Oryctolagus cuniculus: one gene and its partner. Each later gene encodes a partner of the first gene's protein in a complex. Links are inferred from orthologs where the notes say so. Each region holds a gene or a part of one and is shown on either strand. Other genes may lie near its edges.

Region 1 (7,776 bases):
AGAGAGAGAAAGAGAGATCTTCCTTCCACTGGTTCACTCCCAAATGATTGCAGTGGCCAGAGCTGGGCTAATCCAAAGTCCGGAGCCAATAGCTTCCTTGGGATCTCCCACGTAGGTGCAGAGGCCTAAGGACTTGGGCCATCTTCCGCTGCTTTCCCAGGCCATTAGTGGGGAACTGGATCAGAAATGGAGCCATGGGAACTTGAAGCGGCGCCCAAATGGGATGCTGGCACCACAGGCAGGGACTTAACCTACTATGCTATGGTGCCGGCCCCATCCTGTTTACTTTCTAAAATTGGTTTCCTCTGGTACTTTCTTTGAATGTTAATTATTACTTTGAAAGCTTCAAAGATAAAAATGTGGAAATTTTCAGTTTGTCTTACTATTATTTTGGAATGTCACAGTATTAGATGTGTTTTGTATTGCAGTTATCTTCAAATCCCAGAAGACTTAAAAAATTTTAGTATTCACTACTACCCTGGAGAGAAAGTAGGGTATGGTGAATAAGTTACAAGTTTTTGGCTATTGTAAGTCAAGATCAACAAAGCATTTATGGTAAATGATGACACTGACTTTTGTTTTGTGGTAGACGTGAGTGTTATGAAATTAATATTGCCGGAAATGAGTACTATGAATGAACCTGAGTCATTTCTCTGGTTTCACCTCTGGGAAAAACATTGCATCATATTTTAAAAACTTCTCTGCTGAAGTAAAAATTTGCAGTATGGTGTAGGCATAGCTTTAATTTTCTTAGTGCTTTTAACAACATAGATCAGGGCTGGCGCCGCAGCTCACTAGGCTAATCCTCTGCCTGCGGCGCCGGCACACCGGGTTCTAGTCCCGGTCGGGGTGCCGGATTCTGTGCCGGTTGTCCCTCTTCCAGGCCAGCTCTCTGCTGTGGCCAGGGAGTGCAGTGGAGGATGGCCCAAGTGCTTGGGCCCTGCACCCCATGGGAGACCAGGAGAAGCACCTGGCTCCTGCCATCGGATCAGCGCGGTGTGCCGGCCGCAGCGCGCTGGCCGCGGCGGCCATTGGAGGGTGAACCAACGGCAAAAGGAAGACCTTTCTGTCTGTCTGTCTCTCTCTCTCACTGTCCACTCTGCCTCTCAAAAAAAAAAAAAAAAAAAAAAGAACAACAACAACAACATAGATCAGGTTGAATTTGGTACAGTAATGTCTTTTGTCAGTAAACTTTAGAAAATAACAGTCCTCTAACAGAAAATACATTATGAAGCACAACTGAGGTCCATCCCATTGAATTGGTTTATTTGTTGCAAAGAAAAATTTTATCCACCTCGTCCCCAAATTTTAATGATGGATATTATCCAGGTTTTGAGATCTGTACAGTTAACAGCTGTAAAGATGTGAAGCCATGAGTTAATTGAAGCATTTTAGGCATCCTTTATTTTGCCTTTCTTTTAGGAATACCTAGCAAACACAAAGTTACCGTAGTTTTTGGAAAGTGTTGACTACCATTCACAGAGATGGAAAAACTGGTAGGAAAAATAATTTGAGGTTGGGAAGATTCAGTTTGTTTAGGTTGTAATAGTCTGGTAGATAAACCTCTGGTGATATACATACTTCAGAAAATTTGGCTGGTGTGTCTATAACTTTAACTTCTACTGTTGTTCCCTCATTAAAGATTAACAGATGGTATTATTTAATGTCTATGAGAGACACAAATTTTCCAAGCCAAAAGAAATTAAAACTGTACATAGTTTTAAGTCTTTGGCATCATCTTTTGACAATTAAAAATAATAGAATCTCAGAAATTCTGACCTGTTTTTATTCTGTTGACTTCATTGAAATGCATTTAATACCAACTCTTAGTTACAATGAAAGAATATATAGAATTGTGTATTCTATACTGAAAAGGACTCATTAAAATTTCTCTAAACTTTAAGTTGTCATTTTATTTATGTATGTATTTACTTGAAAGGGGAAGAGGGAGGGAGAGAGGGAGAGTTATTGATTGATTATTCATCCACTAGTTGACTCCCCAAATGTCCACAACAGTTGGGCTGTGCCAGTCTGAAGTTGGGAGACAAGAAATCCTGCTGGGTCTCCCATAGAAGGTAGCAGAAATGAGTGTATTTGAGCTGTTAGTGCACAGCCAGCATATATCAGCTAGCTAGGTTAAAAGTGGGGCAGGGATGCACACCCAGGCACTCTGATATGAATTGTGGGAATCCTCACCCTAGACCCAAACACTTGCCTCTCTACGCTTTCAAAGTATTTTCAGGACTCTTGTAAGGAATTTGCATAGTTGCTGATATTAGTTGCTGCCATAGAAGATTTTACTTTGGTTTATCTGGTTTCACTTTCAGAAAAAAGCAGCAGATCATCCAAACCGGACTCCATCTATATGGCTTGCCATGTACAGAGCTTTTGGACGGCCGATTCTGCTTAGCAGCACATTTCGGTATCTGGCTGACTTACTGGGATTTGCCGGGCCGCTCTGTATTTCTGGAATAGTTCAGCGTGTAAATGAAACCCAAAATGGAACAAATAACACAACCGGAGTAAGTTTGTGATACTTGTCAAAGGAAGCATGTTACTGGCAGATTTTGGTGTAATGGTCACTTTCCATTAATACGTTCCTGTGAGTAGCTTAAGCAGTCTTACTGACAGTTTGAATGCTTATGTTAGGACAAAAATAATCATTTTTCTTGTATAGAAAGTCATGTGTCTATGTATTCACTGAAGGTAGCTGACCAACAAAATTATTTTGGGGATTCAATGCCCATAAATATTTGGTGAACCTCTGTATGCCAGAAATTATGGACAGAAATCTTGCATTCTTTGGATCTTCATAGCAATCTTTTAAAGAATTTTCAGCATGAGGAATGGTTGAGGCATATATTTAGAGGCCCATGACCAATGATATTAAAATATGATTTATAATATTGTACATTTCTTTTTTCATATAATAAAATTCATTAATCTCTTTGCTAATGAATAAAGCAAATAGTGATATATTTTATTATGCATTATATTGTTATTTGGGAGATATATGGTATATATTTTCACCTAAAAAGTTATGAGTTTAATGCTTTTTAAAAAAGGATTTTTTTTTTGTTTATTTGAAAGGCAGACTTGCAGAGAAATGGAGGCAGAGAGAGAGAGAGAGGTCTTCCATGTGCTGGTTCATTGCCCTAATGGCTACAATGGCCAGAGCTGGGCTCATCTGAAGCCAGGCGCCTAGAGCTTCTTTGGGGTCTCCCATGTGGGTGCAGGGACTCAAGGACTTGGGCCATCTTTTATAGATTTTCCAGGCCATAGCAAGGAGCTGCATTGGAAGTAGAGCAGCCAGGACTTGAAGCAGGTGCTGGCATTGCAGGAGGTGGCTTTACCTGCTAAGCCATAGCGCCACCCAAGTTATATGTTTAGATTACATTTATAACAATAAATGTATAGTATATAATTCAGTCAAATTTGTTATGAATATGTAACCTTTCATTTTCCATTCTTAAGAAGGTCTGGATCATGAACATTCTAGTTTAAAATAATTTATTTCCCTAGTTTCGTAGATACTAACTCTCGTTCAGATTGATTAACTCTCACTTTATATTCCTTCAATCTGATTGTCATGCTCATCTTTCCATCTGTTTAAATTTTGTGCATTATCATAGCCTATGTTAAATGCTGCCTCGGCAGCAAAGCCATTTTCTGATTATCCTACTTGAAATTTGCTTCTCCTCAGTATTTGCCTAACACTTGATTAACTTTAGGTGGATACTTTCTACATCTGCCGTCTTCATAATAAACCATGTTACTCACGGATCAGTTCATCTTTTTGGGTTGTGAGTTCTTTGAACAGAATGATTGAACTATTCACATTTGTACCTACAATTCTCAGCCTGGATTCTTGCACATATTCGTGTTTAATTACTATTGAAGTGAACCACATATTTTCACTGCTGAATGCACTTGCCATTTTTGGCCTTGCTACCCTAATTAGATACATATCTAAATTCTGCAGAGTACTGCCACCATCCTTGTCTCTTACACATATTGACCATGTGTTTTTCTGAGACACGGTAGAACTTGTGGCTTTATATGTATCTCCATGACACAAGTGTGAGGGACTAGAGGTAGAGGCTGAACTTTTGATGTAGAAAATGAGGAGTATCCGAATGGCCATAATGTGCTTAGTTGATTGTTACCTTTGCTTGCTTCTAACAAACATGTTTCCATATAAAACCATCATTAGAAACAAAGATGAAGGGATTTTACATATCTATGATTAATTTAGTCACATTCCTACTAAAATGAACTTTCCTAAGTTGTGTTTGGTTACTGGAAGAGTCACATGGGTAAAGTCAGTAATCTGATATTTTATACTTTGTAACTTACTTCACTAATATAAATTATGATACGGAAGAACTGGGAAAAGTCAACTTGTAGAATTATTCTGAAGTAGTAAGGTTGTGGAACTTGTATTTTATTTTCATTGATTTTACTGACAGCTCTCAGTTTTGTGGTTCCTAGTTCTACATTACAGTCTAAACTAAATTCTACTTTTTATTTTTCCTGCTTCTCATTTAGCTTAGATAGAATATGAAGCATTTTCCAAAAGTTCATGGAAAATGTGTTATAAAAATCTCTGCATAGATGTCAGTGTTTTTCAGCCAGATGGATTTCTTTTCTAAATTTCAGTTTCCCCTGAACTTCTCAATTATCTTTTCTTTGCAGGACAATGTATGCAAATTTTTAAAAATATGCATTGACCCCTTTTCTACAAAAGACATTCTAGCCATCTTAAGTCATTGGGGATTTTATTCATCACTACTTTTTTGTATTTGTGTACATTCTAGGGGAAAGCCAAAATTGCCTGTTGTGGCTCATTCTACTTACATTATGATGACTTTGAGTATTTATATGTGAATACCATATAGCTTTATTTAATGTAGACTATAGACTTGGTATACGAAAAGACTTGCTTAAATTTGTCTCTTTTTTTTTCTTTTGGGACAAGATTTCAGAAATTCTCTCATCCAAGGAATTTCTCGAAAATGCTTATGTTCTTGCAGTTCTTCTCTTCTTGGCTCTTATTCTGCAAAGGACGTTTTTGCAGGCTTCCTACTACGTAACCATAGAGACTGGCATCAACCTCCGCGGAGCTCTGTTGGTAGGTGCAAGCTTTGATTGGTCTTTGTGTCTCAAAAAGTCCATATCTGATCCAGGGAAAGGAACAGTAGTAGCTTCACTTTTTCACTTTTGCTTTTTCATTCCACTTGGGCTTTGATATTACAACAGCAACATTTGCAGGATGGAAGAAATACAGAGCTAATTAGAGTATTAACTTAAAAATAACATAACATGTTAAGAAAAAAATATTTAATTCTTGTATTTACTCATCCCTGATTCTGTTTGTTATTGAGCTTATGTTTAAAGTTGAATATATATTTTGATGATATTTCTAGAAAAAGGTATCTAATTGAGGACTAACAGTACACTAAAAAAGTAGACTTTGAAGGTGGGTATACAGGACTTTGTTATTTTTCAAAAAGTTTAAAACGTCTTCGATGAAAATAATTATAGTGCTGATGTTAAGTTTTAAAGTGTGTCTTGTTTTTTTTTTTTTGCAGGCCATGATATACAATAAAATACTCAGGCTCTCTACATCTAACTTATCCATGGGTGAGATGACCCTGGGACAGATCAACAATTTGGTTGCCATTGAAACCAATCAACTCATGTGGTTCTTGTTCCTGTGCCCCAATCTGTGGGCCATGCCTGTTCAGGTAGATCATGATAACTAAGATTCTCATTTGCAGAGGGGAAAAAAAAAAAAAATGAAGAGCAAGACAATTAGCTCAGTACTGGCATACTCTTTGAATGTGCTAATGTTATATTTGTTTTACAGACAGGTAAGCTGAGACTCATCAATACATTAAGAAAGTACAGTTAGGAATTTTTGCTCTACTGTTCCATTGCACAGTACTTAATCTCTGAAAGCATTATTTCTGTAATTATAAAATTGGAATAATGATAGTATCTGCTTTGTAGAGTTGTGGAAATTGTCAAGATTTAATGCCAGTATGTGTAAAGCATTTGCAACAATGTCTAGCATTCTGTGGTGATTGCTCCTAGTTGGTATTACTGTGTAAATTCTTCCAAGTCACAGAGCCAAGATTTGGCCCCTTTCATTTTGACAGACTCTCTTACAGCTTTGCTAAGATGGAGCGATGGATTTAATCTACTCCATAGCATTAATAGCTAGTATGTTATAAAATATCAGGCTTTTTAGGTGTTAGGAACACTGACAAACCAGAGGACTATTTAGATTTCTTTTTTGTAAAACAGCATTTTAGTAAAGACATGTGGTTAATCCCCTACCTCCAACTGGGTAAAAATGGCAAAAGAAATGGATTCTGGTTTTTTTTTTTTTTTTTTTTTTTTTGCTGTCGTCTTAAATATTTTTCGCCATCTGAAGCTTTGCATTCTGTAGATGGAGCTTAAACTGTAGACGTATTTTTTTTTAAAAGATTTTTATTTATTTATTTGAGAAGTAGAGTTACAGACGGTGAGAGGGAGAGACAAGAGAAAGGTCTTTGATCCGCAGGTTCACTCCCCAAATGGCCACAATGGCTGGAGCTGCACTGATCTGAAGCCAGGAGCCAGGAGCTTCCTCTGGGTCTCCCACGTGGGCGCAGGGGTCCAAGGACTTGGGTCATCCTCCACTGCTTTCCCAGGTCACAGCAGAGAGCTGAATCGGAAGAAGAGCAGCCGGGACTAGAACCGGTGCCTATATGGGATGCCGGCGCCGCAGGCGGAGGATCAACCCACTGTGCCATGCACTGGCCCTGTAGACATATTTTTGACAGAATCTGTCACCTATGTACCTGGGTACTACATTTATTAACAGTGTATAAAATAATAAAAGAGATATGCTAGTTTTTTAACTTTTCGTCTCATTTTTAAAGTGGAAGGAGGAGCCAAGTAGTGTAGTGCTTGGCACAAAAGTAAAATGAAGATATGTTTTGTTTTATCAAAATGTACTTATGGTAGTCCATTAAATAGCTGCCTGTGTTGTATAAATAAGTGCACTGAGAATCCCACAATGCACTGAATGACTGCTTTTGTGAGTGAATTCAGGGGAGACTTTGTTTAGATGAGAATTCCTAGTGTACCTAATTCACTTGCTAGCAAGCCTGTGTCCTTGCCACCAGAAAGCAGTTATGTTCTCATGGCATAGAGTATGTGCTTAAACTGTGTAGCCACAATTCACGAACTGAGCTTTTGAGCCATGATAAATTGAGCTCTAGGAAAAAAAAATATTTCCATGCTAGCAAAATCAATTCTTGAGTCTTTAAAGGAATACAAGGAAAGTGTCAAACCAAGGAGAATAGCCATATGGTTTAGGCTTGGATTTTGGTAAATAAGTATAAAAAGGGAAGTGAGACAGGGAGGTATTGCAACTTTGGGTTCTTACCAGTTCCAGTGAAGCCTTGCCTTCTTGGCATGACGTGATGATTGGATTCCAGATAATTCTACCAGTCAACAACCAGGCATCCTTGAAGTTAGGATAATTCAAAGAGAAAATGGAAGGTTGAGTGATAGCATTTTCCAGAAAAAATGCTCTGCCATTTAAAACATATTAAGTCTGCTTTAGAAGGTCAGGAGCATCATGGGCGCAGCCTGCAACTTCATCCAGTAAATAGATTTGACACCAGTTGCGCAGCTCATCATACTAAAAATAAATTCCTAGTGCTTAGCCTTCCTCAAATAAAAAATAGTTAGAACCCAGCTGTCACAGTTGAGTTGACTTCC
Region 2 (8,466 bases), about 140 kb from region 1:
CCCCACTGGATCTCCTCGGCTATGTAGGAGGTTCGCGCTTGGGTGGTAATGCCCGTAGTTTCGACCACTCCTTCCAGGATCACTATGACCTCCAGGTCTTGGTTGGCGAGGTCAGTGGCGGAGATGTCATAGAGGGGGCTGCGCTTATCAATCACGTGGCAGATGATCAATGGGGCCACGAGGAAAATGTTGTTGCTCTCAATGGGGTTATCCACGGGGATGTCGAGCTGGTGGATGGGCACCACCTCCCCCTCGGGGGTGGTCGTCTTCCTGACCACCTGGATGCGCACCGAGGCGCTGATGATCATGCTCTTGCGCAGGTCACCCACCCGGAACATGAAGCACAGCTTGCCATTTCGGACGGCGATCACGGCGTGGCGGCTGAAGATCAGAGTCTCTGCCCTCCGGTGAGCCTGAGCTGTCTTCATGAAGATGCAGCCCAGCATGACTGCGTTGATGATCAAACCCACGATGTTCTGCAGAATTAGCACTGTGATGGCCAGAGGGCACTCCTCGGTCATCATTCTCCCTCCGAAGCCAATAGTCACTTGAACTTCAATGGAGAACAGGAAAGCCGAGGTGAAAGACCTGCATGGGAGGACACCAGACACAATGCCATCAGGTCACATCTTCAGTAATGGCTCACATCCTGAGACAAACTGGTTTTCTTCCTCTAAAGGCTACCTAATGTTTTAGGAAGACTACCTTACTTGACAGATTCCTAATTCTCAGCACAAACATGGCCTCTCTCCAGATGTCTGTCTCGACCTCCAGCCTTCTTGGGGGCAAGTCTATCCATGCTTTCCAGGTCTACAGAGATATGTCTAGTTCTGTAAAAGCTTAACCTAATAAACATACCTATATGTTTGTAGGCATATTTTACTTTGTCAAACACTCTATTTTCACAAGGCATAGTTTACTTGATAAAACTTGGTACCAGGTACTTAGTATTGCTGGCATTTCTGTGTTTAAGAGACGTGAATCTTATAGAAGGCATTCATAACCTTTAAATTCCTATTCAATAGCTAACACTTGTGTACCTTATACAGTATAAAATACAGTGAGGATGGGTGCAAAACACATCAGTTCTGAAAAATAGGATTTTAAATGTAAAAGTATGCCTTACTATTTCAAAATAATAGGTTTTTAGAGATATCTCATTTTGTTCTCTAAGTGATGTAGAGAATATTGAAGCTATTATAGGAAGAATTTGAATCAAAGCTCAGTAAATAACTGGGTAAAGATCTTGTAATGATGACGAGCTTGAGTCCTTTCCATTCCTGCCTACTGCTCTGAAAGGGGCAAAGTGAATGAGCCAGGAAGTGTCGGGATTTTCTTGGGATGTGTCTGCAAACTGTGTATCTCCATATCCTAGTGAATAGGTGTTGATTCACAAGGCTCAGGTTGGACTTTGTAAAGACCCTTGAAAAGCTCTTAAATCATTCTGAAGCTGCTGGTTGAGAGTCAACATGTTTGGTGGTTATGAATTTACTCATTTAACCGCATATCCAGTATTCCTGTGGCTTCTTCATAGAAACAATATGAGCCTTATTGTTGCAATTAACCCCCATTTCAAACTTCTCTCATTTTGTAAATATAAACCATGCATTAGCCAGGCACAATAAGTGAGCAAGGTGGGAAAACTTTGGAGTCCTTGGCATACAGAGTGCAATTCAACAGGAACCCAAGAGGGGTAGGCATGTATATACCGATGACTCTTTGCTAGCTGTTAAGTGGAGTGCAAAAGTTAACTTTTTCCTCTTGTGTGGCAAAAAGAATTCATTGAAAAAAATAGAATAATTGCTTTTTTTTGCACCAGCTAAACACAATAAGATAAATGATATGATCCAGAACCATGGTAAAGAACAGGAATGACCCACAGATGAGGGGCATGGATACGATACAGTCTCCAATAACACATTCATGCTTTACTGAAGAACAGCCCCAGATGTCTTGTTCTAATGCTTCGAGAGACCATTCACCTGCCATATTTTGCATATCATTTATTTTATGGAAAAAATTCAATTCTAAACCTTACATAACCTGCAAGATCCAGCATTTTATGCAAAGCAATCTCAAGAACGAAAATTAAGTAGCTGCTCCTTGGTTCTGTGACAGAGAAAGCTAGGTTGAATAATGAGAAGGAGGAAATGCGTTGCTCTATTTTCTGACTCATGTTAGAACGGCATCTATACAGAGGAGAAAGTGAGTCATTATAAAATAAGAATGGCCAAACTTGTTAGGAAACACGGATGAATATCCATTGAAAAACATTGCTTTCAATTTTGATACTGTGGTTGGACATTGAACTTATGAAAATAAAGGAAAGGCAAAGAGTAAGAATTACTATTAATCATCCTTTGAGATCCCTTTGGGAGTGAATAAAGATTTCTCTGTGTCTATACTTTCAGGAAAAAAAAATTGTTATGGCTGGTTTGTTCTGATTAAGCTATGTAGAGATTAAAGTTTAAATAGTACCATAACACTAAAATAATTAAGAAACCTTAGAAAGTCAAACAATTGAGTAAAAAGTGCAATTTAAAATGTTAAAATTATTCTGCTGAGAAAATCAACTTTTTCCCATTGTATTTTTGACATGACGTCTGTTGACACCAACTGAAATGCTACAGGAAACAGAATGTGCTTCAGAATGCATCTTGTTTGAAAAATAGGAAGTAGCAGTAAACAGCTTTTAATAACCAGTACACTCTGAAATTCGTCTAAAAAACATTGAAAGGCTATCACTTTTCATAATCTCTATATTTAAAATTGTCTAATTTCTTTTTCCTGGGAAAAAGGTGATATATTTGTCCTGTGAATAAAATCTGTCATTTATTTTCAAAGTTTTTATTATTGCATGCACCTTTTTTATCAATATCTGCTATGTATTTATTAAAATATTTTTTGCTATGAGAATGATTTACATTATCTGTATAGGTTTTCAAAAGAAAAACACAGTATTATAGACCACGACAACTGACCTCCAAATACTTCTGAAATAGTGCTTTGTTCTAAAACTAGTATGCTAATGATCACCTGTATTTTTCGCCTACATTTAACTTTGAGGCCAAAATTGTTGACAAATTTGAGAAAAGAAAATAATATCTACTGGTGGTAAAAGTAATGGGTCCATTCAATATCATTTTCTGTCCTCAAAATCTCAGCTGGAGTCTGTGGTTGGGCTCTGTGAATACGACTACTGCTTCCCTCCCTCCAGGGCAGGCACTGCAGCCACAGAGCAAAGGAAACAGTGCACAAGCTCACTCTGCTTTGCTTCTTGCAGTGCAAAGCAGCGCAAAGCAGGTCTCCTAGGACTTCAGGGTCATGAAAAGTCTCATTCTTTACAGTTTCCTGGCAGTGCAGTCCTGTTCAAGGTCCTTTGCTTTGTGCATGCTTTGAATTGGGAAATTTATTCAGAATATGCCCTGGAAATTTTTCCTGTATTATTTCTATCTTTTTGCTTCTAAGAGAACTTTTTTTTTTTTGCAATTGATATAAATTATCTCTGTCTTTCAACAAAACAAACAGTCCAACTAAATCCGCTTAGGCCATGCGAGAATTGAGAGGGCAATCACTAAAATAAAATGTACCTTAGCACTTCTTGAAATACTTAATGATCAAGGAAGAAGCCAAAGTTAGGTAATAGAAGACTGTCTTGTTCTCTTACAACTTTGAAAGAAGACCACAACATTAATTTATTTCCAGATAACCTCTTCCATGAAAATTTGGGACTAAGTTTCATTAAAAATTAATACGATCTTACTCTGAATCTTAACTTTGCCTTCACTGGGTTTTAAAATTCAATCAGCTCTGTTAAGATGATCTTGATAAAGAAGAGCTTATATTTATTTCAGTTATTAAATTTTTAGTAGATTTTTAAAATCCAGGACACCCCCCCACATTGCCTTCTCCATTTTCTAATTTTTGAACACACTTATGCATGAGAGAATTCATGGAAAAATAGTACCAACAGTCACACAGTGATTTTTTTTTTTTGATAACCAGATTATTACCACTGACACTGGAACAATGCACAGCTTCTTCAAACTGAAACTGAATGAGTGCCTTCTTGGAGTAAGGGGTGCTGTGGAATTCATTAACCTACAGTTGTTGAATACGAGGTGTAGCACTCGGGCCAGCGCCAAGAATGGAAGTGTCACACTTTCAGGGACTCTTCATCCACAAAGCTACACTTAGAAAGATTTGCAATGTGTTGGCTGTGGCTTTTCTCCCTGTCATGTTGCTTTTTTGTTTCTGAAGGATCTAAAAGAAACCCTTGATCTTTTTTTTTTCCAGCAAAATAACAGGATGCTAAGAGGAAGGGCATCCTAACATTTTGCTGCTGCCTCACTTTCAACCCCAGCCTCGCCCCCCGCGCGCTCCCACCTGACGTTGGTGACACACACTGTGGACTCCAAAGCACTCTTCTCCATGCCGCCCTTTTCCATGTAGGCGTAGATGTCGCCGTGGGCAAAGGCCACCAGCCACCACATGATGGCGAAGAGCAGCCAGCTGCAGAGGAAGGACATGGTGAAGATGACCAGCGTGTGGCGCCACTTGAGGTCCACCAGGGTGGTGAAGATATCCTGCAGGAAGCGCCCCTGCTCGCGAATGTTCTTGTGCGCCAGGTTGCAGGCCCCGCTCTTGGCGATGAAGCGCGCTTTGGGCAGGCGGTCGCGGATGCGCGGCTTGCGCAGGTTTTCCGCGGCGATGCGCGCCAGCACATATTCCTCCGGGATGATGCTCTTTCGGGCCAACATGGTCCCGTCAGCATAGCCAGCCTATCCACCTGCCTCTGCCCAGCCTCTGCTGCCCTGGGGACCCGTCCTCCTGCAGAGGGAAATGTGGATTAAACACTGGAAGAAAGAACCCCCCCGAACGTCAGTTGCTCACCTCTGTAGTCCTACTCCGGGACAAGCCAAAACAAACAAAAAAACCGCGACTGGCTGCGCTTGGTTAGGTTCTGGGCTCGCAGCAAAGTTAATCTGATTGGAATCGGGACCATTGTTTGGATGTCGTCATTCCGAACACACTTGGGGGGCACAGGCTCCGTTCAATAAAGCAGGAGGCAGCCTGGAGGCAGCAAGCGCTAAAATAATTCTTTGCGATTAACCGATTAACCGCATCTGCCCGTGAGTTCAGAGGCACCTGCGCGCGGCGCGGAGGAGGAAAACCGAGACCAGCTGGGTACTGGAGCATTGACAGATGGAGCAATAGTACAAGTAAAGAGGGAGAAAATTCTTCCCCTGTTTTTACAACAGCAGAGGCCGCGTGGCCTCGTGCGTCTTAGGAACTCGTTAAAAGCAACCTCACACAATCACATTCAGTGCGCTACGCAACTCGAACATAACGAAGAATAGTTTGCAAGGGGAAGGAAGGGCGAGCTGCGTTTCCAAAAACGCACGAAAAAGTTGCCTGTGGAGTCCCGCCACACTCCAAACTTCTTTGCAACGAACGGGGCAAACCCGATCTGCGCGCAAACCCGCAGCGCCGTGGGCTGCGGGCTGTGGCGGGGTCAAGGCAGCGCCGCGGTGCTTGGCCTGTTCAGCCTTTGGCGGGGACGCGGGCAGCCTCCCCCTCCCGTGCCCCGGAGGCGCGCCGAGACTTACAGACTGCGAGCCCCGCGCGCGGCCGCTGCCCCTCGCGGCTCCCGCGGGCGCACCGCGGGCGGCTCCACGGCGCTCCCATGCCGGCGCCGCGCGGGAAGCCGGGGCCCCAGCGCCGGAGGCACGGATCCGGGCGCCGCTGGTCCCAAGCTGCAGAGCGATAAAACTAAAGGTGCACGGGGAGTCCGCGCGCGGGGAGGGCTGGAGGAAGGGGTGGGTGGGTGGGTGGGTGTGGACCCCCCTTTCCCCTCCCCCGGCTCAGCGCTGCGCCCTGGGCCCCTGCTGGCTGCAGCCGAGGTTTTGGGGGCACGGAGCTTGGGAGGGATGCTCCTCAAAATCAGCCTTCCCCGCGAGGGCTCTGATGTGCGCCAGGGGTGGGGGCGGGAGGGCCCGGGCCGGGGGAGGGGCGGCCCGGGGAGGGCGGGGCCCGCCGTGCGCGCTGGGTTCCCAGTAGCCGCGACCCCCTGCGCTCGCGGGACACCGCAGGCTTTAAAAGGCTCTGCGCGAGGGGGAGAGCTGTGCAGTCCAAGATAGCTGACGTAAGGCGATCTGTATTTTTATTTTCACTTTATTTTGTAACCTGGGCAGATAGCTGGGCTATTTCAGGCTGAATTAAGCGAGAGTAAGAGAGAGATGCAAAGATATTCTTGCGAGGCGTTCAAGCTGTGTACAGCACACACAGTGAAACTGGTGTTAAATTTCCGTCGAAAAGGAACGGTGCCGGTGGTTGGTGTCCTGAAGCTTCAGCCACTTCTCAGGGAATTAACACACACAACTACCACGACCAAAAAAAAAAAAAAAAAAAAAAACCAGAAAAGGACTGGTGTTCTCGTCCAATGAAGAAATGTTACCCCAATCAGGACCGCTGTCAACACTGGAGCACTGACCCGGCCCTGCGGGCTGCAGCAATGGGCTGCCCCCTGACAGCCTGTGGCTTCGCGCTCTTGTCTGGAGTGTCTGATGGATAAGACAGGCCAGTGGCGCGCAGGAATGAGCATAGGGCGGTTAACTTCCCATAGCTTGTTGCAAACGAGCCAGCGGAGACAAATGAATGGGCTTTCTCCTACAGGTCGAACTGCGTCGTGCTTTTGGCACTTGAGTTAATGGATACTTGAATTCTTGAAAATATCATGCATTTTCCAAGATTCAAGGCCAAAAGTGTATGGAGCATAAACACTGTGTGTAATGACCAGAAATCCTAAAATTAGTATTTAATGAAGGCAGATGGATAGTTTTTCCCCCTTGTGGAGAGATGTGCTTAACCCCTTCATGCCTAGGGAACCTGGTCTGTTACTGGTTGCTTTTATGTACTCTCGTTAGTTTTTGCAGTAGTGTGTGAATATCTGTTTGTGAAGTTGATCCCTTGCACTTTTATTTTACAATTAAGTTTGCTGTACAATTTATTATCCATTATTTTAACTCAGACTCCTATTTTGTAAAGTTAATTTTTTAGGTTTGCATATCTAGAAATATATAAATATGTAAATGATTATTGCTGATGCTAAAGAAAGTTAATTATAAAAGACATTGATAATTTAATGCACGCAAGAATGATTAGAAATTGAAAGTAAATACAACAAAATGAGAGTTCAAATTAGAGACATTTAAGACTCAGACTAAAGAAATACTGTGGATTATTGGACATCTGATTAGATATATTTGGAGTATAGAGAAAATCAGAGGAAAAACATTCCACAGAGAGGAAATGGCATGAGCACAGTCCAGGAGTATGGTAAGAGTGGGCTGTATGTTAGAAAGATGATTAATTTAATCAGCATTGCTGAAGCCATGTGGGATTGGGCACTGGAATCCAGGACTCTGCTAAGCAGGCTCTGTCACCACCGTTCTTAAAACATAATGACTTATTCATATTCCTGTCCTACCTAAGCCTATCCCCATGCGAAGAACTGCTCGAGGGTATGGAGCACTGTACAGAGGTGCTCAAAAAATATTTTTCAATCAATGAATGGAAAACAAGTTTGGGAAAGCATGTTGGGATCCGGAAACAAAATGTAGATAGAATAAGATAGCTTAAAAGGTTTGCCAAGGGACCCGGACTGCTTTCAACAGTAATGGTGAGGTGTGGAAAGATTGAAAGAGGGGGCAAGCATTTGGTTCAGCAGTTAAGACCCTGCTTTGGGACATCCACGTTGCATAGCAGAGTGCCTGGGTTCGAGTCTTGGATTTGAGTCTTGGCTTGCAAAGCAGCTGCCTGCTAATGGGACATAGCAGAGAGCTGGGACATAGCTCAGCTGCCTGGGTCTGACCCACTGACGTGATACACCTGGATGGAAGTCCAGGCTTGGTAGGGCTCGGGGCTTGCAGTTGGCCCAGCTCTGGCTGTTGCAGACATTTGAGAGTTGACCAGTGGATGGAAGATCTTTCTCTGTCACTGTGCTTTTCAAATAAATAAATTAAAAAAATTTGATCAGACAATAAAAAATAAGAGCTTGTTTTAGGAGGATTTATCAAGAAGCAGAGGATATGATATAGTGGCTTTCAGGGATGCCTTTCCAGTCCCTTGAGCTCCAAAATTCTATGGCTGGCGGAAGAGTGCACTGAAACTATTACACAAAGAATGAAGCCTTGGCTAACAGGTTATGTCAGCAGGCAACATACAAATCTATGTAAAAAGAATATTATGTAGAGTCAATATTGGGAGGGAGAGGAGTCAGAGGCAACTGATATTTATGGTGGTGACAGAGAAATAGTAAGAAAGATGGAATGAGAAGAAGCAAACTGCTGCAAATTTATGAGCATAGTTGCAATAAATCTTGGCTGAATCATGACAATGCTGTTCTTTTGCTATAATACATATTGTGTACCCCATTTTTTTCCCAGTGCGAGATAGGAGGATACT

What was found.
Region 2: the proteins of ABCC9 (region 1) and KCNJ8 are in contact, whole or in part, in a cryo-EM structure (PDB 7MIT), measured with the Rattus norvegicus proteins. The link is inferred for Oryctolagus cuniculus from reciprocal best matches to the Homo sapiens genes ABCC9 and KCNJ8. Residues at the interface, in XP_038963045.1 of Rattus norvegicus: Phe5, Ile10, Tyr13, Asn14, Ile15, Val19, Asn22, Cys24, Phe25, Ala28, Leu29, Val32, Val35, Phe36, Phe39, Phe42, Pro43, Ile44, Phe46, Ile47, Gly48, Trp49, Gly50, Ser51, Lys55, Gln57, Ile58, Asn129, Phe130, Lys132; in NP_058795.3 of Rattus norvegicus: Met1, Leu2, Lys5, Ile7, Ile8, Pro9, Glu11, Tyr12, Val13, Leu14, Ala15, Arg16, Ile17, Ala19, Glu20, Asn21, Leu22, Leu45, Ala46, His47, Lys48, Asn49, Gly54, Arg55, Phe56, Leu57, Asp59, Ile60, Thr62, Thr63.

The regions. Positions count from the first base shown.
Region 1 is NC_091440.1:119,192,450-119,200,225, reverse strand, and holds part of ABCC9 (ATP-binding cassette sub-family C member 9), read left to right. Parts: intron 1-2,327; coding exon 2,328-2,522; intron 2,523-4,978; coding exon 4,979-5,131; intron 5,132-5,591; coding exon 5,592-5,747; intron 5,748-6,477; exon of another isoform or gene 6,478-6,809; intron 6,810-7,438; exon of another isoform or gene 7,439-7,776. UniProt on the Homo sapiens protein: Subunit of ATP-sensitive potassium channels (KATP). Can form cardiac and smooth muscle-type KATP channels with KCNJ11. KCNJ11 forms the channel pore while ABCC9 is required for activation and regulation.
Region 2 is NC_091440.1:119,053,062-119,061,527, forward strand, and holds the start of KCNJ8 (ATP-sensitive inward rectifier potassium channel 8), read right to left. Parts: upstream 4,761-8,466; coding exon 4,387-4,760; intron 589-4,386; coding exon 1-588. UniProt on the Homo sapiens protein: Inward rectifier potassium channels are characterized by a greater tendency to allow potassium to flow into the cell rather than out of it.